3 linked regions of the Schizosaccharomyces pombe genome follow. The protein of the gene in region 3 interacts with the protein of the main gene of each other region in a biochemical or structural test. Each region holds a gene or a part of one and is shown on either strand. Other genes may lie near its edges.

Evidence for each region.
Region 1: of the proteins of raf2 (region 3) and htb1, one has a biochemical effect on the other in vitro, tested with the Schizosaccharomyces pombe proteins (one study listed by BioGRID).
Region 2: the proteins of raf2 (region 3) and stc1 form a complex in vitro, tested with the Schizosaccharomyces pombe proteins (one study listed by BioGRID).

The regions. Positions count from the first base shown.
Region 1 is NC_003421.2:1,410,240-1,414,211, reverse strand, and holds htb1 (histone H2B Htb1), read right to left. Parts: upstream 1,854-3,972; 5' UTR 1,729-1,853; coding exon 1,348-1,728; 3' UTR 576-1,347; downstream 1-575. Other genes in the region: exocyst complex subunit Sec5, read left to right, coding at 1-575; hta1 (histone H2A alpha), read left to right, coding at 2,290-2,688. UniProt on the Schizosaccharomyces pombe protein: Core component of nucleosome. Nucleosomes wrap and compact DNA into chromatin, limiting DNA accessibility to the cellular machineries which require DNA as a template.
Region 2 is NC_003423.3:3,690,382-3,693,813, forward strand, and holds stc1 (CLRC complex-Argonaute linker protein Stc1), read right to left. Parts: upstream 1,535-3,432; 5' UTR 1,468-1,534; coding exon 820-1,467; 3' UTR 627-819; downstream 1-626. Other genes in the region: mug30 (ubiquitin-protein ligase E3), read left to right, coding at 1-625; abz1 (para-aminobenzoate synthase), read left to right, coding at 2,182-3,432.
Region 3 is NC_003421.2:498,991-503,457, reverse strand, and holds raf2 (CLRC ubiquitin ligase complex subunit Raf2), read right to left. Parts: upstream 2,694-4,467; 5' UTR 2,600-2,693; coding exon 689-2,599; 3' UTR 578-688; downstream 1-577. Other genes in the region: kcs1 (inositol polyphosphate kinase), read left to right, coding at 3,692-4,467. UniProt on the Schizosaccharomyces pombe protein: Component of the Clr4 methyltransferase complex (ClrC) which contributes to the establishment of heterochromatin by specifically methylating histone H3 to form H3K9me.

The sequences.
Region 1 (3,972 bases), 910 kb from region 3:
CTGTTTTCTCTACCTCCATTACCCGCTCTGATGTTTTACACTTCGTAACTCGACTGTTAAACTTGCGTTCACGTTTGGTACCTTACCAAAAGTTTCTCTTACAGACATTTCCTCTTAACGAGGTTTCTCCCTCCCTCGATCCGAGAATTTCAAAATCTCTTCGAAACTTGCAAGATCTTTATAAATTGTTGGCCATACGGGATACCAGTTTTTCCAATACCACACCCTCTTCCATATCCAAGTTGAGCATTCAACCACCGACCTTCCAATTGTTTTCCACTCTAGAAACCATATACTTAGAATTAAAAGACTCCATGCCTCCTAATGAAGCGGCAGATTGGATGATAGCCACAACGTCTTGTATGCTCGCTCAGTTTGCTTTACACTCACCATATGCCTTTTTCCACGACATTCCTAGTATTTCGCATTTCTTAAATAAATGCCTTCCACCTACCATACTCGACTTGCTACAACAAATCCAAAGAAAGGCAGAAGCCAGCTCCATAAGTCCGACTACGGAAACAGCTACGAAAACACGACTCAAGTTTCAGTTTATTGAAATGATCTTTTCATAATATTATATTATTATTAATAGTAGAATTACTTTACAATCTTTCCAAACATATATAAAATCATTTGCATAGCAAACATACCAAACCACATCAACTTCGCACACTGGATTCTTTGGGATATTTTGAATGTGAATAATAATATTCCATTCACCATCAATCTAAATCACCAACATAAACAATAATAATAATAATAAATCCATTAATAAACCAAGATGCCCAGGAGTGGAACGGGAAATGGAGTGTGAGAAGTGTCTGTATGAGTGCCAATGACACAAATTATTTCCATACATGGCGGAAAGGAACAAACAGTCGAAAAAAAAGAAACTCAACTCTCCAACCAGTGGTGATAGCTATAAAATGCACAAGGGAAGAAGATTAACCAAGGGAAGAAAAAGCATCTCGTCCCCGTCGAATCGAACACAAAACCCAATTTGATCCAGTACGACTTGTGCAAAACAAAACACCTTTCAACTCCACGAACCGGTCATAGAAATGAAGAACCATGTGTAATGTAAAAAAAACTATCGCGTGATGTGCTGCACCTGTGTTGTTGTTGTCGTCATTGTACGGGGAATAAAATAGGAATGCGATACAAAAGGCGGAAATGGAAAAGAGGAGGGAACGAAAACGTTAAAAAAGGGAGGAGGAAAATATATATTTCCAAAAGAGCAAATAACCTACCCCCTTTTGTTTCGTGAGGTTGTCATTGTCGAAATGGAAGGCTGTGGAAACTCATCAGCTGACTAAAAGACGATTGCACAATCGTGCGATTCGCTTACTGAGCAGAAGAAGAATACTTGGTGACGGATTTGGTACCTTCGGTAACGGCGTGCTTGGCTAACTCACCGGGAAGAATCAAACGAACAGCAGTCTGGATTTCACGGGAAGAAATAGTGGACTTCTTGTTGTAAGCAGCAAGCTTGGAAGCCTCAGTGGCAATACGCTCAAAAATATCGTTGACGAAAGAGTTCAAGATACGCATGGCTTGGTTGGAAATACCAGTATCAGGGTGAACTTGCTTCAACACCTTGTAAATATAGGATGAATAAGTTTCCTTTCTGTTTTTACCACGCTTCTTATCAGCAGACTTCATGGTATCCCTAGGAGCCTTACCGGCGGGAGCCTTGGAAGCGGGTTTCTTTTCAGCAGCAGACATTTTTTACGATTTAAAAATTGGTTGTCGAGAGAATCTCAAAATTGATGGACTGAACTAAGTAATTGCAATTGTAGGAATTTGATAATCCTAAACTTTCGTGCAATATCAAGTTGTTGGTATTAACTAACATGCCTGCAGGCGACGCGATGGTTATATACAACTTGGGCATCACAACCCTAACCCTGGTGTTTAGCCATGCGACGCGGAAACGTCATCTACAAGAACGCGTTAGACGTGCTTATACGGAAGATTAGAATTAGTATATATATGAAGGGTGCGCGCTCCTATGTCTCCTTTTCCCTATATCGCGACTTTTCGTTGTTTAGGATACCTTTTGATCCATACACGTATTGAAATTGATATAAACAATTGATCCTTAGTTGATAAGGAGATTGATTGTCCGTAAAGGCTGAAATTGCGAGAAAATTCTGTTAATTTCACCAAATTTGATCCATTCGCTGCTTCATCGTTGACTGTTATCTTTTTTCATTAAAGAAGGAAAAATCTTTTTTTTTTAACTCAAACTTTTATTTTTTTTATTTAGTTTCAGTATTTTTCGTCATGTCTGGAGGTAAATCTGGTGGTAAGGCTGCTGTTGCCAAATCTGCTCAATCCCGTTCTGCCAAGGCCGGTTTGGCTTTCCCCGTTGGTCGTGTCCATCGTTTGTTACGTAAGGGTAACTATGCTCAACGTGTTGGTGCTGGTGCTCCCGTTTACTTGGCCGCCGTTTTGGAATATTTGGCTGCTGAAATTCTCGAATTGGCTGGAAACGCTGCTCGTGACAACAAGAAGACTCGTATCATTCCCCGTCATCTTCAACTCGCCATCCGTAACGATGAAGAGTTGAACAAACTTCTTGGTCACGTTACCATTGCTCAAGGTGGTGTTGTTCCCAACATCAACGCCCATCTTTTGCCCAAAACTTCTGGTCGCACTGGAAAGCCTAGTCAGGAGCTGTAAAGTCAGTCGTCAAGTAAAACATTTTGAAAGAGGATGAAGGGAAAGACATTGAAAAGTTGTAAAGGACCTTTCTTTTTTTACAACCCCGCAATACTTTTTTTGGTTGTTTCTCGCTTCTAAACCATGTTTGGTTCTTTTTCCTTTTGAACTTTTTGCGTCTTTCTTTTTCTTTGCTGTTATTGTTTTCGTTATGCCTGAACTTTAAGGATGTTTTAGATGCAGCCAAGTCATTCTCTACTAGTTACTTTTACTAGTACTTGAAGGGCTTTTGCACAAGTAATTCCTACTTGAACTGGCTCCTTTGGTTTTTTTTATTTCTTTTTTATTCTCCCTTAATTATAATATTGTATAGTAATGAGTATATTTTTCAAAATCCTATATGAGAGTATGTATCAAATGAATAAATAGATTGTAGAGTGGAGATGAACAGATTGATGAAAGGAGTGTCATTAAACATTGAATCGAGCAGTACATGCAAAAGAATAGTACTTAATTTTTTTTTACAATTAATGCTTTTGAATTTCCAGAATTTTTTTTCGATGCAGTTTTTTTACTCTTCTTTCGTGAAACGGTAGACGTTTGCTTCTTTTGAGTTTTTTCCTTCGCCGATTTCGAAGCTCGGTCGCACCAGTACAGCACAATTCCAACTAAAAGACCAAGCATTTCATAAATTGAGAATGCTTAGATTTGGTAATTTTCACGTTTATTTTCCCTTTTTTTCTGTCTATATTTCTTATGGGCTATTTAGTCATTACGTCCAACCGATTGGTTAATGAATTGTACCCGGAACCGGTAAAGCCAGTTAACGAGAATATGTAAGCAATTTTTGGCAAGTTGGTGAATTTCACAAATTCATTTACCCATAATGCTGCTTTTATCGTTATTTATGGATAGTGATTGCTGTACGTCTCTTTATATGTTTGAAAAGAATACAATAAATAGGAAGGAGTTTGGAAAAAAATAGCTAGGTTCTTATGTAACTGTTTGATTTTTTTTTTTTTTCTTAGTTTTTTATTTTAATTTTAATTTTTGTTAGAAATCGATTTCATCGTATCTATTTAGGATTTTTCAATATTTTTTCTTTTTTGCCAATGTATTTTTATAGTTGTATGAAAATTATAATACTAATATCAGTCAATAAATAGCCATTGCAGTTTATTATTTTTATATTATATCAAAAAATATTAAAACATTATAATAAAATTTTTGCATGGCTCTTAGAAAAGCATTTATCGTAAAATTCGAGTTTGTTGGATTGTAAAATAGTAAAAAAATTCCAAAATA
Region 2 (3,432 bases), on a different chromosome or scaffold from region 3:
TGTTGAGTTGAAAGAAGGAGGCTCTGAATTGAGTGTTGATAATGAGAACAGAAAAGAATATGTTTTGAGGTATGTAGATTATCTCTTAAATACTACTGTAAAAAAACAATTTTCTGCTTTTTTCGATGGCTTTATGAAAGTATGTGGAGGTAACGCCATATCGTTGTTTCAAGACAATGAAATCAGCAAGTTGATCAGAGGAAGTGAAGAAGTTATTGACTGGGAGCTACTCAAAAATGTCTGCGTTTATGATTTTTATGACCAAAATGCGATTTCAAATTCTATATCTGAAAGTGAACCAAGTATGACTGCATCTAAATATCTCTGCCACTCTTTCGTATCAAAAAGAAAAATAATACTTTGGTTTTGGGATTTGATATCACACTATTCGCTAAAAATGCAAAAACTTTTTCTCATTTTCGTCACAGGAAGCGATCGCATTCCCGCTACTGGGGCACATAATTTTCAATTAAGAATCTCAGTTCTCGGACCTGACAGTGATCAACTTCCTATCTCTCATACTTGCTTCAATCACTTATGTATTTGGGAATACTCCAGTAGGGAAAAGTTAAAAAAAAAATTAGACACGGCGTTGCTTGAAACTAATGGGTTCAATATACGCTAGTGTTTACATCAGGGTTCGCAATTCCTTACCTTTTACTACTATATACATATATCTATTTATTTAAGATCTAAATTAAATTCAACATATTTTAAGGTCTACATTAGCACTAATGGACCTTTATAATTTATCATATAAAATGGGATCGTAAGCAAATCTTTACATAATTCAAATAAGGATGAATATAAAACGTGTCTCTATACAATTTGTTTTTCTTTTTTGAATTGCTGAAATATCTCTTCCATCCTGTCTTCATCAGAGTCATCATCATCATATTCTTCAGCTGAATTGCTTTCCTGTTGCCCCTTGCTTTCAGTTCGCTCTTCGTCAGTATTATCAGAAACATCGTCAGCGTATTCTGAGTTTATGGTTTGTTTATCATGAATGTAGATATCATCGTCTAAGTCAGAATCATCACCTATGAAAGGATCAACGAACTTATCAGATTCCAAATTATCATCACCGTCGTTCCTTTGTGAATGTACACATATCTGACATCGTGGATCCAGGACATGTCTTTGTGCCTTAGAGAATTCATTAATGCCCTTAGTTTGTTGACAAGCGGTACACCAAATTGAATCATGCTGTTTGGGCTGGCAGGTACGACATATCACTTTTGGGTCTGAAACGCTAACCGTTCTCCCACGAACAAATGTAAACGTTTTGCTCCATTGAGTTTTGCTGTAAGAGTCTATCCCTTTAACCTTTCTGCATCTCATACACATAATTAAACAATCATTATCATTTTTCCCTTTTGAATTCAATGTACCCCGGTATTTTTTAGCATGTAGTTTGCAATCCTTCGGATGCTTTTTAATTTTATATTTTCGACTCTTAAAATCCATATTTTTTTATTATTATTAATATGGTAACAATACTCTTATAAATGAATATATGTACTGAAATAATTTTAATTAGCTGCTGACGTTAGAAGCATTAAGTAGACAATACCTTTAATGAACAAAATGTGATAGCCTTGACAACCAAATAGAAGAAACATACAGGCTTAATCAGGATTTAGAAAAAAAAAACAGTAATACAAGCCGTCCTATCAATTGTCATTGAGATCTTTACGCTGATCAGGCTGTAAATGCATTAATATAAAATTTACTACCGTTCGGTTCGATTAATAGGTGAATCAATGATATTAAAGCAAAAAAGAATACATATATTTGTTGATTGCTTCATGTTCTATTGACAATGAAAATTGCACATATTCAAAGGGTTGTTTTCAAAATAAATACTGCTTCCCATTCTATTATTCTCGCCTTCAAGTTTTTGATTGCGAATTATTCTTTGAAAATAAACGGAATAATAAAACTTTAGATAGCCTACACTTTTCCTACCTTAAATGGAATTGTATGATTTGTAAAATCCCGAAGAATGTCAGAAGCTTCTAAACAAATTGGAAACTGGAATTTAATTTGCGCACTTCCTACTCCTGCTACTTTGTAAAAGTTAAAACCTCTTAATACCAGAGTTCTCTTTTCAATCATATCGTTAAAAAATTAATGTTTCTTGAGTAAATCTAAGGTCGTTTTAGCTGATTAGTATCTATCATGAGTGAAATTTCAAACCGTTTACAAATTTTATTAATTGATTGCTATGACTCATACACTTTTAACCTTTATGACTTACTTTACAAAGCAAGTGAAAATGCCTGTGTTATTGTTGTTCATTGGGATAAAATGAGTCCTGATTTATGGGAAGACATACTTCAATTTGATGCCATTGTCGTAGGACCGGGCCCTGGACATCCTGCCGAATATTCTTCTATTTTGAATCGTATTTGGCAATTAAATATCCCAGTAATGGGCATTTGTTTGGGGTTTCAGTCATTAGCTTTATACCACGGTGCCACTATAGAAAGAATGCCTAATCTTCCTTGGCATGGCCGTGTGTCATCTGTAACTACTTCAAAAACTTTCATTTTTGATGGAATTTCAGCGGTTAAAGGAATGCGTTACCACAGTTTGTACGCGAACAAAATTCCCATCGATTCTTTACAAATATTAGCTCAATCGGATGAAGATAACATAGTTATGTCTATTAAGGCTACAAAGTTTCCACATTTTGGAATACTTTATCATCCTGAAAGCGTTGGGTCATCAAAATCTTTGAAAATTTTCAAAAATTTCCTTTCTCTAGCAGATACTCCTAATATACAATGTGTCAATTCCTTTTCAAAATCAGCAAATGGTTTCTCGCATAATCTTAATCGGTATGATATTTCTCCGGCTGCATTCATTCTTAAAAGTGGTTCTCCCTCTCTTCAAATTCACAGTGTTGAAATCCCTTGGGTTGAACCACTAGCGTTAGCTGATTGTATTCAAAAAAGCGGGAATCCAATTTGCTTTTTAGATTCAGCGAAAAAACCTGGGAGATATTCTATACTTGGAATTTTAACAGGTCCTTTGGCACGAATTATACATTACGAGAAAGCAACGAATACTACTGAGATTAGAATTTGCAAGGATAATAGCTTTGTCCGTATAAACAACGATTTGTGGTCCACAGTGGCTGATTTCATGAATCAACATAAAGCAATTAAGCCAGATACCAATTTGCCATTTTACGGCGGAATTATGGGTATCATTGGTTACGAATGTAGTGATTTATCTACAAAGTCTGTTTCAAATGCCTCTTTTCCTTTGGACTTCCAACAAACCACAGTTGATGCCGAACTTGCTTTTGTTGATCGATCCTTTGTGTTCGACTTGGAGATTAAAAAATTATTCGTTCAGACTCTTACTCCTTTAAATGAGACTTGTTCTGAGTGGTGGGGCGAATTGTTAGCTTCCACTTGTAAC
Region 3 (4,467 bases):
CCTTTGTTTACTTTGGCTCCATTCTTGTATTAGAGTTGAAATTACACTTTCTTCTATCTATGAGTGGGATCGAATTTAGGATATTATCCTATCACATTAATTTTTTTATGTCAAAGAAGTGAGCCTCATCATACTCATGTTTGCTCCTACTGATTCATGATTAGATGATTCTATTTACGTTTACAAAACCAAAAAGATGGGTAATCGTCGCGTATGGTCCGTATTTTCTGGAACAATTTTTTAATAGTATTGCTCTTTTCTAAAATAAATACTCGTTTTTTGCTCGTTTTCCTTACGCATGAACATTTAGTAGTTCTTGGCGTTTACATTCCTCTGTTTTTATTTTATCGCTTGGTCTCAGTTATTATCAAAAATGGGTTCTGGTATTTTGAACGGCCATTAACTTTACAATTGTAAAGGGTTGGTGTTTGATTTTGTTTGATCGTCCTATATTACATTTGACAAATAATTCAGCTATTTGTACACTTTAATAGGCACATTTATAAGCGTATCAAATTGTTGTTACAAAATGTGTTTTTGAAATTGTTTATGAACACATGATATTTGTAAAGTAAAGTGTATTTGACATTAGCCATGTAAAATTGTAATCCTTTATAAACATACTATATATTAACTTTAATGCAGTGTGTCTTTTGTTAATTACTAGTAAAAATCATCATATCTATCATTAATTTATGTTGTACATTATGTGTTCAAGTTTATTTGTAAACGATCGGACACTGTTCGAAGGAGTTTTAAATATAAACTTGGAATCTACATGTCCTAAAAGATGATCGTAAATGACCTGAGAAGGTTTATACGGGTTGTCACAAACAGCAAAATACAAACAATTTTGTACTGGACATGACCAAATACCAGTCTGTAAATCCGGACTAACTTTTAAAGCCTCAACTTTCTCCAAGTTATATGAATATAATCCAGTGTCTTGTTTAAAATCTGTTTCCTTTTTGGATAAGCAGGAAGATGCGGAAGCTAAATCGAGCAGTTTTGTAGGTCTATACGGTAAAGTCGACCTCGTTGACCTATTACAAGGGAATAAATTTGTTCGATCCAGCCATACCTGATCGCATAAATTTGGAGTTGATGAATATACTTTGGGATATTTGTTGCGAAGTAATTTCAATAATTCATCATAGAAGCTGAATGCAGGCCAATAACCAAAAGAAATAGAAAAAAGTTTAACAAAGTCAGGAAGAACTGTAACAAAATTTTTTTCAAAAATTTCCTCCGTAAAACTGAAAGCGACAGCTGAGTGATTAATGTATTGTTCATATGTATAATCTGAGCCAGAAAGGCCTGATCCAATATCAAATAACAAGAAATGAAATAATATCTTGGCCGCCAATTGAGCATTTGAGAAATCTAGTTTCATGCATATTAGAGTCCTCAAGAGATGTAGACTTGTTTTTTCTCCATTGTTACAATGCATGAATAAATAATCATAACAATATCCACGGAATTGAGATCGTGCTTGTTGAACAGAAGATCTAAAACCAATTGCGTGCTTAATATCATTAAAAAGCTTAGTACCTCTCCACGTGAAAGCAGTATGCATAATTTGCAAAAGGGTTTCGCCGTGGGAAGAAAGTTTATTCAAAGCTTCCAAATTTGTTATTTGTAGCTGTTGAGCAATAACGCTGCAAACTTCTTGAAGGCTAATATAACGTTGATGCTTCGGAGAGGTTGAAACTTGTATTCTTTTCCATAATGATATCGATTCAATATTTGGATCAACAATCCTTAAACCGGAAAGCCAAATATCATTCAAAGGAAACCGTAATGGAGAAGTTCTTTTTACAACTCCTAGTTGTGGTGTTGCTGTGGGAGAGGAAATGCTAAACGGTTGCTCGGGTAAATTAATTAAAGTAAGAGCTTGGTTTAAAGAGCTTTTCATAGTAGTATTATTGTCCGATGGATTGTTTGACGATAACTTTGATTTCTTTCGCTCTTGACGAGCATTGTAAATGTTTTTATTAATTTGTAAAATCAGATGTTCGTATGAAGATCGAATTCTTATAAAAAAAGGTGATTCAGACCATACATGTAATGAAGAAGTCGCAACCATTTGGGTTAACAGAAAGCGAATATGTTTTTGCACTAAGAGAATTGCTTGAAAACAAGAAGGAAGCTCTAGCTTTTCCTTTAAAACTTCGATATAATTATCGTAATCTTCTAACGTACCAGATATCATATCATCTTTGAATTTTGTCTTAATAAGGTAAAACAATCGATTCTTCTCGCTGATCTGTTCGTAAATGGCTTTATACTCAGAAGAAGGAGACAAAATTCCGTATCTTCTTTGAGGTGTAACGATCCATATGCTCATAGTTTCTTTCTCAGGAACGTCTTTTAGATTGTATGTCCAAACAGGCGATATTTTTATCGAGTATCCCAGAACAATGCTCTCATCAAACAATGGTTCTTGCTCATCCTTTTCAGAAGATAAAATTCCTGTTAATGAATAAGGGCCATATTCTAGAACGTCCTCTAAATCTACTAATTCCCCTGCTTTATTTGTAACGCAAACTTGTTCAATCAAATCAGTTTTCCGCTTTTTTTCAGCACGTACGGGCGGCATCGCTAGCTTTTTCCTTTTCCCCAAAAACAATACTCTTCGAAGTAATATTGCCTATTACTATAGACGGCATATTTTTGAGGTAAACATTGGTGTTAAATTTCTGATCTCTGCTTCTGAAATTTAAGAGAAGGGTATCCATTGTACTGCACAAATATATAATTAACGTCTAGTGCGTTATACTTACGATACGTTAACAATCACTATACCTATAATTGTGTTTTACCAACATTTCTTTCGGCCGTGAACATACGTTGCTTCTAAAGTACTTATTCTTTAATTAGAAAAATATTGATGAAGTTTGATTTGTACTCCTCAGCTGATTGTAAACTATTTTAGTGCACATATAATACTATACGATATCTCTTAATATTTTGATATATTTATTATTGTATAGAAAACAGAATTTTATTTAACATTATTTTTTATATTAGGAAAACCCACCGCAGTTCTAAAGTATCATTAAGTGTTTTAATGATTGCATAGCTGACACAATGCGTAATTTAATGACAGATACGGTGTATTATTATGTGGATCTTTAGAGTAGAATAATTGTAAGCTACGCAGTTTGGTATCTGATTTAAGGATACGTAGAACTGCGGTGAGTTTTCCTTGTGATCTATTATATTACAATACGCAGGTTGTATAAGTAGCAACTGAGTATAGGTATTGTATTAACTGGGTTATAATGTTACCTATCACTAATATAGCTCATAACTGAACCTCGTTCCTCAGTTCAGTTGTAACGCTATTTATAATATTTCTAAATAGTTGTTATCAACGGGTATCTACGTATATAGACGGATAGTTACCCGTGATTATCAATAAACGGATCTTAGCTAGTATTCCAACATATGACATATAGTGATACGCAACGTAGTGTATCATAGCGTAGTGTAGTATTGCTGACAATAATGAATTTAAGTAGTTTCACTATACGCCTCATTATACTGTAAGCTAGAGCAAAGTAAGAAACTTGCCAAGAACCAAAGCGGGTCTCTGCGAAAGGTAAACTAATAAAAATCGGACAAATTGGAGGAATTGAAGGGGAATTAAGGAAAAATATTAATTTAATAGAGATAAACTTATGAATTTATGCAGAACGCACCAAAGTGTTACCTGCCGAATTCACGTAAAGGCAGAGACGTGAATTTTCATGATCGAGGTCCTGAAACGTTAAAATGCTTGTACGATGAATCAGAAGATAACAATAATTTTACTATGCATTCTGAATCCATAGGTCCTAAGTCATTAGACAGTTTATCGCCTAGAAGGCTAAGTAACTATTCATCTGCTGTAGACCCTCGAACTACGAGCTTGGAAGATGTCCCTCGCTTAATTTTAACAAGAAGTAATTCACAAGAACAAACCCCTTTGAGAACACACACCCCTGTTGAATATATGAGTGATTCAATTCACAAGAGTCTAGCTGACTTGCAATTAGGTGGTTCCTCTTATTCAGTTGCTGAATCACCAGTACCGGTGCTGCAGTCTTCAGCCGTTTCTGAAGCTGATGATATGGCAAGTGCTCATTCTGCTCATCCGTCTCGAAAGGCAAGCAGGTCATTACGTCTCTTTGAGTCTTCTACCTCCAATAACTTAGAAACCGGTAACAGTACTAATACTGCTTTGCACAACGTGTCGAGTCCTCTTGAATCTGTTTCTGAAAGGCTCTCCAAATCTGGATCACCAAGTGTTGGTGCTCAGCATGATTTAGATGAAGTTATTTCCGAAAAAGATACATCACTAAGTCGAAGATCATCTCGTGGTCGGAGCTCAGCTCCTAAACGAAGAAAAGATAGTGGTAGTTCTAAAACCACAGCCACCTACATACCACATAATCCTTCTAAAAAGTCATCTCAACACCTCCC